Styela clava: one gene and its partner. The protein of the gene in region 2 purifies or fractionates together with the protein of the main gene of each other region. This does not show direct contact. Links are inferred from orthologs where the notes say so. Each region holds a gene or a part of one and is shown on either strand. Other genes may lie near its edges.

What was found. The genes of interacting proteins can lie anywhere in the genome.
Region 1: the proteins of inositol polyphosphate 5-phosphatase K-like (region 2) and trifunctional purine biosynthetic protein adenosine-3-like purify together in Homo sapiens (co-immunoprecipitation; 3 studies listed by BioGRID and IntAct, counting the BioPlex papers as one, with this or other methods). This does not show direct contact. The link is inferred for Styela clava from reciprocal best matches to the Homo sapiens genes INPP5K and GART.

The regions. Positions count from the first base shown.
Region 1 is NC_135252.1:10,861,798-10,868,780, forward strand, and holds the start of trifunctional purine biosynthetic protein adenosine-3-like, read right to left. Parts: upstream 3,004-6,983; 5' UTR 1,069-3,003; coding exon 1-1,068. UniProt on the Homo sapiens protein: Trifunctional enzyme that catalyzes three distinct reactions as part of the 'de novo' inosine monophosphate biosynthetic pathway.
Region 2 is NC_135252.1:22,907,852-22,915,795, forward strand, and holds the start of inositol polyphosphate 5-phosphatase K-like, read right to left. Parts: upstream 3,009-7,944; 5' UTR 2,570-3,008; coding exon 2,544-2,569; intron 1,365-2,543; coding exon 1,260-1,364; intron 889-1,259; coding exon 780-888; intron 1-779. UniProt on the Homo sapiens protein: Inositol 5-phosphatase which acts on inositol 1,4,5-trisphosphate, inositol 1,3,4,5-tetrakisphosphate, phosphatidylinositol 4,5-bisphosphate and phosphatidylinositol 3,4,5-trisphosphate.

The sequences.
Region 1 (6,983 bases), about 12 Mb from region 2:
GTAACCTGAGCTAGCCAGGACGATACAAACAGATTTTGTGTTTTTCCAGCAAATATGAGAAGAGTTGAGGGATCCTTTGCAACACTGTGTGAAAATCTCATATAAATCAGAATCTAATAATGACATGAGAACTTGACACTCTGGGTCTCCAAATCTACAATTAAATTCTAACACCTTTGGTCCATCCTTTGTGAGCATGATACCAGCATATAAAACTCCAACATATTTTTTACCTTCATTCTTCATACCATTAACTGCTACTTGCAAAACATGATTCGTTATATATTCGACCACTTTATGATCTATTTGAGGACATGGGCCATAGGCACCCATCCCTCCAGTATTTGGACCTTTATCGCCATCATACACCTGTTTGTGATCTTGTATTGGTGGCATCACAGCAATAGTGTCACCATCTGTAAAGCAAAGCAATGAGAATTCTTCACCATAAAGCCGTTCCTCCACAACCAAAGTATCACCAGATGAACCAAACAAGTTTTGTTCAAAAATATCCTTTACAGCTTTACAAGCTTCAGTAGCAGTTTCACATACCACGACACCTTTGCCTGCTGCAAGTCCACTTGCCTTCACAACCAACGCATCATAATTCGCTGTATTTATATGAGCAATGGCTGAATCAGCATCTTTAAAACTTTTAAATTGTGCGGTTGGAATGCCATTTCTCACCATGAATTCTTTGGCATATTCTTTACTGGCTTCCAGAGCAGCAGCAGAAGAGGTTGGCCCAAAACATCTCACACCGTTTTTTGCTAGTACATCACATATTCCATCTGCCAGTGGTACTTCGGGACCAACAACAACAAGGCTAATTTCATTCAGTTTGCACCACAAACTGAGACTTTCATAATTGTCTGATGGAACATCAATGACATTCATTACTTTTTGGTATTTCTTAGCATGTTCCGACATTTCGTTTTCCACAATGTTGTTATCAGTTCCTCCATTTCCTGGGCTCACCAAAACGGACTTAACAAGAGGTGACTGTGACAGCTTCCATGCTAGTGCATGTTCTCTTCCCCCAGAACCAATTATCAAAATTCTTGCCATTCTTACGGTTTCTTATACCGTTTTCCTATCTTATTTTTTGCAGACCTGAATTTCAGAATTGCGAGATTAAAAATCATTAATTAAGTATCCTATATAGCCTAGGAGACTCTTATTTTACAGTCTTATTCACATACTCAGTAGATTAATTTAAATCAATTCAAGTTAAGCCATTAAGCACAGTCAGACAGTGGGTAAATTCGGGATTGTAAATGACGGGCAACACTGGGCGATGAGATACAGTATCTACCAAAGTTACCCCAGCCCACACTCACCCTGCGGTCAACGGGTTAACCCACTATTTTACTCACTTTATAAACCTTATTTCATGAAAACTATTTGCCCTGATAATATATAGCCCATACTGCCATAGCTGATATATTCCACGCAAATGCAATACCAAGCTCAGCCTACAGGCCTAGTTACACCTAACATGGCCTAACAAAAACGATTGTGGGCTGGCATCCCATGACTGTGGGGCTGGCGTTCTGATGTTATAAAGTGAGTAAAATAGTTAGTTAACCCGTTGACTGCCGGTGTAGGCTGGGGTAACTTTGGTCGGTATCTTTACATCTTGGTTACTTTTAAATAATTACATTAATTTTTTCAATAAACTATGATTGTATGAAAGATAACGATGATTCTAGTATTTTAAAGGAGCTAGGTACGGTATCGTGCAAGTTTTCTGAATCTTCAATCAGTACTGCAGTATATCATAATCAATCAATCAATCAATTTTATTCGATCACTCTGATACAAACAAAACACAAAACAACAACAAAGGGACAAACAAAATACAGAGGACCTGGAGGACGGGCATAACTTAATAAAAAAGTTAAATACGTACAAGTACGTGCCCGTCCCCCAAAAACAGGCAAAACACAATAAAACAAAAACATGATGTGACATCGGGCAATATCTTATAAATTCAAATTAAAATGTGAGACGTGTATGTGCTTTTCCTATACAGATATATGGATTAAAGAACACTCGCTGACGAAAAATGGTGATGTTGTGGGTCTACTTCAATTATATTGCAAAAATAACACAGTGACAAATTTTTTTTTACTAAAAAACAAGCTTGGTAAATGGATTGAATGTTCCATAGCAGTCTATGCACAAATCATGAATTGGGGTATTGGGTTCTTTTGTCGTTTTCGGTTAGTTCACTTTAAAATCATTGTATCCGTTCCAATGCTTCCAACATTAATATCGAATTTCCACGAACGACCACCATTCAGCCATTCCAACAGGTGCAGTGATCCCATCTTTTCTATGCTCTGTTCCATCATACACGACTAGATTCATAAAAGGATCGTCCACCATTTAACTTTAAATCCAATCTTTTATCCATAAACTTCTCTTATTTTAGTGGATGGGCTTTGCTCATGTTGATATTGCGCGATACAGATTACAGATACCGAAACATACAACGCGTAGCATTCACTAGTCTTTTCAAGCTGACACGTCTGCACCCGACGAAGGTCGGAACGGAACTCGAATGGAATAAATATAAACACATGTTACTTTTAAATAATTACACTAATTTTTTCATTAATCATTAAACTATGAAGGATAACGATGATTCTAGCATTTTAAATGGAGCTAAGTATCCTGCAAGTTTTCTGAATCTTCCATCAGTACCGTACTGCAGTAGGCTATATCTTGGATATAAACGCACCTACACTCATGACTCAAGACACTGTCAGCGCGTAGGCGGCACACTAATACTCCGAACCGTGGTCATTTACTACGGTACCGTACGGTAGCTCCTACCGGTACGTAAATTACAACAGAAATATCTAAATATTTCCACAATCTTACCAGATATAGTCTGGCGGTACTGATGTCTGCAGACTTTTAAGTATATTATATATACTTACCCTATATTTATTTGCAATACATCGTACCGTAATGTCTGAATGTAACAACATCCTGGCATCTAAATAAAATATCAACAACAAGGCTACACACGTGGTTTCAGTGATAGTGGTTGTGGGGGTCTCCCTAACACCGGGCGCTTGCGAATTCAGGCACTTTGATATTTTATTTTTACCGTACGTCATTGGGGTTTCCAATTTATTGGACACGTGAGTGGACCTATGGATCGTTTTTGATATTATGTTGTTGTTCTTGTTGATATTCTTCTCTTTCGTCGAGATGAAATCGCTTTTCTCTTCGAATACTGGACCAATTGCTCTGATAATTACCTGTAAGAATAAAATGATCAAGGTATTTGAGAATCAAAACAGTTTTGAGGGTAACGAAGCATGGATCTTTCCCCGAGCATCTACTTTCTTGTTTACTTTATGACATTGGCCAATCAGCAAAATGCAAAAAGTGATGTAACAATGCTCTGTTTTCGCATCCGCTCAGACACTTTTCTCACTCAGAGCATAGATGCATTGTCTCTGCCCAGACAGATTACCTCGTTTTTGGGTTTTTGAACTCTATTCGTTAGTTTTCAGTTGTGTTTCGGAAATTTAAATATAAATCAGATAATTCAATGACCACTCTGTCTTCTTATGAGTTTTAATTTAATTGCAATAATAAAAAATTAGTGTAGAATTAGCTGTGATAGACTGGTCTAAAATTCTTCACCGGTACTTTTAGAAAACAGACTGTTGTATGCGATGAATCATAATGATGGTTTGAAACACATACCCTATTTTACAGGCACCAACTCGCGAAACCACTCTTAAAATATGCCCCAGAAATTTCGCAATGGAAGATTTTTTTCAGAAGTCAAAGGTCGGGCAATGGTTCATTAATAAATAAAGCTGAGGAATTTGTTTGTTCACTGTACGGAGTAAATATGAACAACCTAAATGATACCAGGGCACGTCACTCCAAAACTTGCAAATATATGGATTAAACTCTTCCACCCAACAATGATTCACTCTAAAGAAGCATATTCTGAAGGATGAGGATTTCGGAAGCAATTCAGAGGAAAGTGAATTATATTGAAGTCAATTTAATGAATATTTTTAATCAATTTTTCTCAAACATCTGGTAGTTTCGAAAGTCCTATTTCCCATAAATAATATTGACTTTGTATCAAATACACAGCCACATAAACTGAAAAAAGACTAATTTCTGTTTACGACTTTTTTGTGTAAATTTTTCAGTGAGAAATAGCCGATTTATTTGTGTTTTTGTGCTCACGATGTTAATTTGTGACTTCATTGCATAAAAATAAATGCGTTTGATAGCTTCTATAAAATGAATGCAACTTCTTACGCTGTTTTTGTAGTAAACTGATTTTGGTCAGTCGAAACGTTTCAGAAATACATTTGTGTTAGTGCGCTGCAGGACTTTTGAATTGCGTAATTCTTATGCTGTGTTGTTGTAAAGCTATGGAAATTGATTTTCTGAGAATCCCTCAAATGCAATTTTGCATTTTCATTTAAACCGATTTACTTGTGTTTTTGTGCGCGCAAAGTTAATTTGTGACTTCATCGCATAAAATTGATGCGTTTGATGGAGTCTATAAAATGAATGCAATTCTTCATGCTGTGTCGTTGTAAACCTATGGTTATTAATTTTGGGGAAATCTCCTTAAATCGAGTTTTTCATCAGGGTTTTAGAAGCATGTTTTACAGAAAATGTGTAACTTTCGTTAGTGGGAACAAGCTGTAGTGCGTTCAATATATTCATTCTCATACAAAACTAAAGAACTCATATAGTTTCCAGATGGGCGCTACGAAACTCACTTTTTAGGCGTTTTTCAGGGCCTCGTCTCACGGCCTAAAATGTATGAAAATATTTTATATAATCGAATCAATTAAAAAAAAAACGCGTGCTATGAGGGTGTTCTAGTTAGATTTCAAAAATAAATATTATTCTACTGAACTAGTAATAGCTAGGCTTAAGGAAATGATAATTTATATAGCAGTACAAACAAGAAGATCACCTGCGCGATTCTTTTGGTCCTCGCTGCAGCGTTCGATATGGTTCATCACTCAATGGTATAAGAGGCAAATCACTTAACCTCATGGCGTCACACTTAAGCGGGCGTCAGAAATGTGTTCTGAATGGGGTATATATTCATGAAATGGGCTTTACTAAATGCGGAGTTCTACAGGGTTACACAATTGGTCCTCTGCTATTTTCATGTTATTAAATTATCTACCAGTTGCATCTTCCTTATTCAACGCTATTTGCTGATGATACTTCCCCGTTAAAATCTACGTCATGTTTGTCCTAACTTGAGATCGTAGTGAATACTGAAATACAAAATGTTGATATTTGGCTAAAGGAAAATATATAAATTATCTTTAAATTACTCTAAAACAAAGGCTCTTCTGTAATAAGGGAAAAGATATTACCCACTTCAAACTTTTTTAGGCAGTAAAAAAATTGGGCGAACCAATAGTATAAAATATTTGTGGGTCACCATCAATGATAATCTAAGCTGAAACTGCATATTAACTAGCCAGGAAGCTATCGCAAACCGTTGGTATTTTTTATGAACTAACTAAACACATCTTGAATTCTGAAACGCTTAAAGTAATTCATTATAGTTTATTTCACTCACGATTGCAATATGGAATTATTAGTTGGGAATCAGCAGCTAAGTCTTCATTGTAGCTAATTCAAGATGATAAAAGAGATGTGCATAAATAAATATTGTCAGACTAATAAAAAATTGCCTAAGTCAAATTTTCACATTTTAAGTGAAAAACTTTTTTTCTTCGAATTTAGGTAACCACGTCCATCGCTCCAAACTATGATATGCTTCAGCTCGGGATTATTACAAATGATTCGCTTAAAATGCTCAAACTGCAAGTAAGTAAATACTTCACTAGAAAGTTTGCCTTCAGTTTCATTCCAGACGTAACAGTAACCTGCTTTTGATTTTGTATCATATAGTGTGAAATTGTGTACCTATAGCTTAGTTCTGTATTATGAGGTACTAGCTCTCGTTCTAGAACATAAAAGCACGGCCTGTAGATCCATCGTCCAAACGGATTTTTTTGCACTTGCAGAATCTTTGTCGGTTATCGTTTTTTTCATAGCATCATCCTTCAGTTTGATATGCAAGCTATACTCAACTGTACTCATGTTACCATGTTTGTAACCTACACACTTATCAGATTATCGAGACTTACATCAATATCTAGTAGTTCGTGAAACGGTAAATAGCCACTTTTACTATATAAATATGCATCGGAATTCTCCTTGCAGCCATCGAGCTGAAGCTCTATAAAACCCTCCCAACTTCATTCACCTCATCTGTGAAAATTAAATACGGAAACATGTGAAGATCGCTCACTACTATCGCCGTATAAATTCGCATTTTTTGGCGTTCAAAAACTTGTCACGTGTGCCACTATCATTTGCAGAAGCATTTCCAAGTAGAGCATAGTTTCTCAGCTTCCTGGACTTCATACCGTTAGTACTCGATCACTACAATTACTTGCCGGTAGCGTCCAGATGTTGAAATATATATGTCAGTACACCCTATTTAACCAGAAAGCACTGCTCGTCAAAGAGTGTCGTAACGATGCCAGAACGTACCAAACCTAGATGAGGACAAGCGTGTTTAAATGTGCCTATCTCAATAATAGTTCCGGTTAGCGCTGGTCAGTTACGGCTTCCTCCACTGTTGGCGTAGTAATGGACGATGTCTTGGTTCACGGACGAAACCAAGAGGAACATGACAAAAGACTTGACGCTGTTTTGAAAAAGATAGCAAAAGCAGGTCTTGCGTTAAACGACAAATGTCAGTTTTCCCTCCGAAAATTAAAGTTTCTTGGTTTTATGATAGATGCAGAAGGTGTGGAGGACCCTCAAAAGGTCATGGCTCTTTCCAAAATGCCAGCTCCCACAAATGTTTCCGAACTGAGACCCTGAAACAGAAAAATTCTAAAGGACAATGGAAACCTGTGGCGTTTGCTTCGCGCGCTATGAACACC
Region 2 (7,944 bases):
CTTGGGGACTGACAAAATGTTTGACTAATTTTCTGTATTTCTAGCGACTGCCCTGTATATTCTTGATTATGCAATAATGATTAATTTCATAATGAGTAATGTTCAACAACAAAATTTGTTTTATTAATCATTGCAACATCATTAAATCTAAATTTTATAATTGAGTAGTTAAGATAAATATTGTTTTGATTGATTTTTCATTTTACAAAGTCAGAAGTTAAGTCAATTCTTTTTTTTTGTCTGATGTTTATTGAGATACCGGTAGATGTTATTTTGACTTACAACTTTATTCAACACCGTTAGAAGTTGGCCTAACTTTTACTTTTCTCTGATGTCCGATATCAAATTGTCAAAATGATAAATTTCAAAATAAATTATTCTAATCTACCTTATATCTAAAATGAAATATTTACAATATCAAATATAACCACTATTGAATGCATTTAATTTTCTATCTGTCTTGGATATCCGTGGAGGAGAATGAGCTCGCCATCAATCTACTGATTACCATGCATGGGTTTGGCAATTGAATCAGGGACCATGGTTCCCCATAAATTAACCCTTCCTTTTCAGAGAGAGGAAGAGAGTTTATTTCATTTGCCAAACCATAAAACACACAATATATGCAAACATTTATAAATAATAAATAGACAGATGCTTTGGTGTGTGACTGAGTTGCAACGATATGACCTTTTGGGTTCATCAGAGTCTGAATTAGTTTGTTGTTCACTTTTAACAGCTCTTCTCTCCCTAGGGTAAATTTTAAAAATCTATATTACCAAATAGAAACTTTTCTTTGACAGAAATTCCATGACAGCTTGAGCCCAGTCATCGTATTTGATGAAACTTTTCGCAGTTTCTTTCGCCCCAGTTTTGATTTCTTGAAACCTGGAAAAAATATTGATATAATTTTAAATTTTTATTATTTCCCTAAAACATGTGAGATAATTTACCACAACCAAACTTTTGAACACCCTGGCGCTTTTTCCCTTCTGAAGTTAATATAGAAAAATCCTTTTTTCACATTTTAAATGCAGGGGTCACAACCTGCAGAAACCCCAACTGGGTACTCCCTACTCACCTTCATCACCTTACCGAGGGCTTGAACAGAAAGTTATTCAAAGCAAAAGTCGTAACAGCACATCACAACTAAAAAAAACTACTAGGACCTTATATTTTAGACAGGTATTGCTAGTAAAAAGGTTCCTGCAATAACATGAAAACCTTGTTATGAAACTAAAAACATAACAGCTATTCACCCGATGGCATAGAAATCAACTTCAACATTTGATTTCAATAATTTTTCAATATCTTTCTCATCCAATGGATCAGCTTCCCCTACGTTCCATGTGCTGACGAATATTCTGGAATATATTTAACAAGGTGAAAATAACTATCTTTATGATAGAGAATAGAGATAGCCTCCCTGTGCTGGGAATTAGATAATATGCAGGATTTATTTATTTCTCCCATGAAAGAAAGTACATAAGACATCTATCAGTTTACTGCAGATAGTAGACTATTATTTTTGTATTTTCATTATTATATTGGGAGAACGGGAAAGCTAATAAGACAGCTTAATGATATGGCATATCACAGCCACAATGGAAATAGATTAAAATAAAATTTTTCGGGATGCGTAAACCTGATGTTTAACAATTAATACAACAGTGCAATAATTCTGATAAGATCAGTTTTTAATATATCCGCATGTTCCCCTTACAAAATTATACAAGCCTGTGTCCGGCAGTGTTATAATCAATGCCATGTAAAGATATAGGCTAATATAGTAATAATATCTGTATATGACGAAATGGACAATTAATTAAATACAAGGAGCAGTTTTGAGTTGAGTTAACCGAGATCGAGGAATAGGTAATTAAAATTTAAATGATATAATATTTTGGGTTGAACCCATTTGAACCCATGTGTATATCCGCGGGTTCAATCTATATGTGGGTGCTAAAATCCATGGGTTAGGGTTAGTATGGGTTCAAATATTCGTAAAACAAAATTTTTTTCTATAGGTGCAATAGTACGTAGGTTCAAATGTAATGGAACCAATATTTTGCTGTTCTGTTATTAACCATTTCAGCATTTTTTGGCTTCCCTTTTCTAGTTTCTGAGTTTCCTGTGATTTATATAAGAATTCTTAGCTTGAGTATTTTAAAAGTAAACAACAGCCAGAAAGTTTATTACATTCACATATTTTTTGTGTATTTTTGTATTTATTTCTGGCCCAAGCCTTGTTTAACAAAGTTTGAGTTTTTTATTTGTGAATGCTGTTGGTGAGCGGGCAAATGATACGAATCTTGTTTTAAACTTTTTTAAAGGTTTTGCTCGCACTCCAGAATTCTCCATTCTTTATTTGTTTGTACCATTGTCAGATTGTGGAGTTTTCAAAGTAAACTATCTATCTAATTCTGACATTCTACACCTTCATTATAAATGAATCAATGTCGTTAATAGTCTACACCAGTTCTGACAAGTACGGTACGGGACTCATGGTAAGATCTTATAATCAGTCATATAAAAAAACCTACCTGAATTTCTTAAACTGATCCGCCATTATTCCATTAACGTTCTCTTCCACTTCCTTGTCTGTTGACCAGTGGATAGCACCGAAGGCAGCCAGCAACACAACCAAAATCGCAACCCAAAAACTCGACGTTTTTACTTTTTTTCGTTGCAATTAAAACAAAAACTGTTTTAATCAATTCTGAAATCAGAGAAAATAGCGAACAACAGAACAAATCGTCGAACCCAAGTCCTTGCAGAAATTGCGAAACCGCAAAATGTAAACAAAGCGTTCGCCAGCCAGCCAGCTGTACGAGACTTATTCAGCCGTGCAACTGTCAACTTGATAGACTTCCTCCAGATTTTTTCGTTATATTCCGATTTAGCTTATTCCAAAACTCTTCACACCAGCTCGGTGTGAATATAAATTCTGTTTGAGTTTGTACATTTTAAAAACACTTGCACCATTACATAATAAAAACCAAATAACTAAATTTACATAGGAACGTCCAAACCATATCAAAGGTTTGCAATGTTTGTGGCGAGGACTCTGAACACACGTTTGATACACAAGTATCCTGTTCAATTCGGGCACATCGATACGACACACGTCTTACCAAAGGACTCGAAAGGAAATCACCGATCATTGTCAAATTTGTACGTCGAAGCGTTAAATGCCAAATTTATTCTGCCCCAAAAGGACTCCGCGGAACCCGCCTTTCCATCACCGAATCTCTTCCCGAACGACGCCGCATCTTGTTGACTGAAGCCCAACGACTATCTTTCGGCAATTTGGATTGTAGTACAGCCGTTACATAGTCTATTAGAAAGCATTGATGACCAGAAAAAATAATACTGATGTTCTATCATGCCATGGTTGTAGTAAAATTGTAAAAGATAATGAATAGCCTACAGTATTTTTTGCGACCACTGTTCACACTGGATTCATTTGAAATGCAGTGGTTCATCCCAAAATGAGTACAAGAAATTGGAAAAAGAACCCTATTGTGTTCCATGGTGCTGTAGACCAGGGTTTCTCAAACTTTTGGTGTTACGGAGCCGTTGAAGAAGTTGATTATTATTCACGGAGCCCACAATAAATTTTAAAAATAAAACAACACATTGTTACTTGACGATTAATGTTCATGGGTAAGTTGAAATTACTTTAGGATAGGATAGGATAAGATCTACATATTTATCCCGGGGAAGAGGAAAGCCGATAAGACGGCTTATCCATATGGCGAACCACGGCCTCTCGTCCGGTTACCATTCCAAGTCGGGTATGGGATTAGATTTACTGTATTGTTTGTTTTCGGGAGCATGGACTTGGTGGTGGAGGAAGCCGTAACTGACCAGCGGTTACGTGAACCACCCAACGACGGCGAGGAATCCAGCAATCCTCTCGCACATAACCATTCCTGCATGGGATTCGAACCTGCGAACCCACGCAGAGTAGTTAGAGGTGCGGTGGCGAGCGTATTCCTAACGCTTAGCCCGTTGAGCCACACCGCCGCGCCCCACTTTAGCCCTACTACCGCTACCTACTTTACCCAATTCAAAAGCTAAACCTTTTATAATATATTATATACCATAAATAAAAGCCACAAATGATGCTAAATTTCACAAATAAATTTCATATATATATATATGTATTGAGATGTGCTGTCTTGTCCATTAGGGAAAATAAGCACGTGCTTAGGGAGCAAAGGAAAATGGGGCACCACAGAAATTTTAAACCTCCTGAACTCAGGTTGTGTACCAGGTTAGGGTTCAAGTTATGCGACATCTTGGTGCGCATGCTTCAGGAGGTCCAAAATTTTAATATACAGACCGCAATGAATGCACTTATAATACAATGGAAGATTAATTGACCACGGCCTTCACATTGATTACAGCCTTCAAAAATTTCATCTGAATCATGAGAACTATTGTCACGGATTTTATTATCCGTGTGTTTTAGTTTAGTTTGTCTTTTTATATTTGCCTATATGCTTTTTCGAGGACCCTTAATTTGGATATACTTCATCCGGGTCCGGTTATTGTGAGACTCCAATCACCCTCGAGTTGTTAGAAAAAGAGTTTCACGCTCTTCTTTTCCGGCTGCCGCGCTGGCAGGCGGGCGTGTTTTCTGTATTCTGTGTTTTTTGCTGTTTTAAGTGTTTTAAACACGAAGTTGTCGCCATAATAAACCACAAATCCGGAATCTGAGTCTTCTGATTCAATACACTGTAGAAACATCTACTAACCGTTACACTATGACGCGTGACCTCGACGTAGTATCAGAATGAATAGAAAGGTGCATAACACGCGCAATTTGCTACATTTCATCTTTAATGACTGGGGTAGCATGTTTCACATGTCGTGGGATTCTTCGGACAAAATTTACGGTGTTTTTCATTTTTTAGTGTGTACGATATCGTTTCAATCTATAAAAGGGCATAACGCATCGCCAATTTTTATCTGAGATGTTTTATAAATTCAGAAAAGTAAACCAGAGATACGACGGCTAGTTAGCACAAGAGACAGAAAGATTAAATTAGTATTCCTCCACTGACAGTCAGAAATTTGGTTTGCACATTCACTAATTTGAATTATCTTAGCATTTTCCTTAAAAACTAAACTAAAATGAACAACTGTTTTAAAACGGGATATTCACGCATTCAACAGTTGAAGCAGCGCACACGATAGTCTCAGATAAACGCTTTCAATCGAGGTACGAATGAACATGATTCGAATAAATGTAAATTGGGAGCTCGCGAAATATGTGCACCAAGATGGCGCACAACCTTAACATAGTATGTGTACCAGATTAACTTTCAGGTTGTGCGCCATCATTCTGTAGGCGATTAGCCTCGTCACAGGCTGTCAAGTGTGACGTCGTTAATCAAGTAAGATTTTAATCCACCCTATTCTCAACAGCAGCTGTAGCTCAGGGGAAGCGTTCAGACATGATCAAACATTAGGATCGTGGTTCGAACCCCACATGGTGGAGTGAGTTGTAGGGGTAGACCATCAAACAAGGCAGACGGTCGAGGGAGAAAGAGGCAGGCGAGAGCAGCAGCAAAAGAAAAAATCGAGGCGAAAGATATCAAGACGAGAGCAGTTCAGGGGGGGGGGGGGAGAAAGGTCAGGCGAGCAGATTTCAGGCGAGAGCCAGGAAAAATAAATAGGAGTAAGTAAATCGATCAGCGGGATGGCCAAACGGTCAGTGTGGAGTAAAAATGGAGACAAGGCCGAGCAGTTGAGGAGAGGTCAGTGTGGAGTTTAATAATGGAGACAAGGCGAGGTCAGGCGAGAGCAGCAGCCGAGGAGAGCAAGATGAAAAGAAAAAAAAAATCCGCCATAAGGGCGGATGCAAATAGGGAGAATTGTTACGTCACTTTTTGCATCTTGCTGATAAAATTAATCAGCGGGATGTCCAAGCCATAAGGGCGGATGCAAAAAGGGAGAATTGTTACGTCACTTTTTGCATCTTGCTGATTGGCCAATGTCACGAAGTAAACAAAGATGCTCAGGGAAAGGTCCATTATCTTTGAATGACCTTTCTATCTCTGTCCTCTGATCTCATTGACGACCAGGATGAAATAGCCTCGGGACTATGCGATTGTCAATATATAAGTGCAAACGATATTGAAGAGATTTGTCCAAGCTTAAAGCGAAACAGTTATCTTTTCACAATGTGCGCAAATATGCGTTCGCTTTCTAACCCAAAAAAATTTGCCAAACTGAAAGTTTTGTTAGAATCAATGACTAGTCGACCCGATAAAATTGCGGTTAACGAAACTTGGCTTAGACCCGACCAAGTTGGCGCACATATAAGTTTACGTGATTACAGATTCATTTCTCAAATGCGAGAATAAACCCTAAGTGTGGTGGAGTAGGCTTGTATATTAGAGATGGTATTACCTTCAAAACCAGACCGGAATTGTCCATAATGAAAGAGAAAACGTTCGAATCATTATTTGTCGACGTTTATCTCAGAGACCGAATTGTAACTTGTGGTACTGTTTACCTATCCCCACTGTCTGATAAGTCGAGAAATAAAGATTTTTTAATCTCATGAACACTGTTTTGTCCTCACTATCAAGACACAGTATACTAATGGGTGATCTTAGTTACGACCTGATGGACTACTCGCACCGTTTCGTCAACGAATTGACTGGGTTGATGAACCTATTTTTCTCCCACTATAAACGAACCGACCAGAATAACTGAAAACAGCGCGACAATTCTTGATCATATAATATATGGACAAACATATACGATCGAAAACCTGTCAGTGCTATTCCAACCGATGCAATCTCTGATCAACTACCTGTAATAGCCATGTGACCGATAGGACAAAAAAAACACTTAAAAACGAAGAAAAACAGTTTTTCTCGATCATTTAATTCGGCCAATATGACTAATTTTAGTGGTTCCATTACATTTGAACCCATGACAATTGCACCTGCATACTATTGCACCTATGGAATTTTTTTTTGTTTCACGGATATTCGTTCGAACCCATACTAACCCTAACCCATGGGTTTTAGCACCCGCATATAGATTGAACCCGCGGATATACACATGGGTTCAAATGTACGTGAGTTCAAATGTACGGTCACCAATTTTAGTACGTCATTAGAATGTATCGATTTCTCTGTAGTGTGTGAAGAATCAGACCCGGACGATGCCGTTAGAAAATATTCTTGCAATGTTATGCCAGTTTATAATCGTTGTTTTGCTCAGATTTTGATCAAAAAATCTAACAAAAAGTGGTTTGATAAAGAATGAACAAAACTTCATAAGAAAAACAAAAACTGTACAAATCAACTCTCATAAACAAATTGCACTATTCTAGGAAATCAAGAAAACGTACGAAAAATGATATTGGCCAAAAACCATTCTTACTACAGATTGCTCTTGAGTAAAACTAAAAACGATCTGAAAAAATCATGGCAAACAATGGATACCTTGCTAGAGTGATGCAAATCTAAACAGTGGTAAGATTAAAATTTTTTGTCAGCCGGTTCCTTCACAAAAGTTTTATTTTTCAGTCGGTTCTGTTACAAACAGAACATTGACAGTAACTCAGTCACGCTAACCGGTTCGCTGATCTCATAAAATTTCGAGAGACGGTTCTATAGAACCACTGAATCTAAACTGTCGGAAGTATTTGTTGTAGGAAATAAGGAAACGTGTGATCCTGTATGGATAGCTGATAGTTTCAATGAACATTTTTCTACGATAGAGAAGCGAATGGCTGATAAATTTACTCATGATAATGACGGTAACTTCATGGACAAATCTAGTAACTCTTCAATGTTTCTGTCACCGGTGACAGCCACAGAAATCAGAGCAATGCCATGAAACTTATAATCTTTCCTTGCAATTGTGACAATTTATTGATGTATTTAAAATCGCTAAAGTAGTACCGCTTCATAA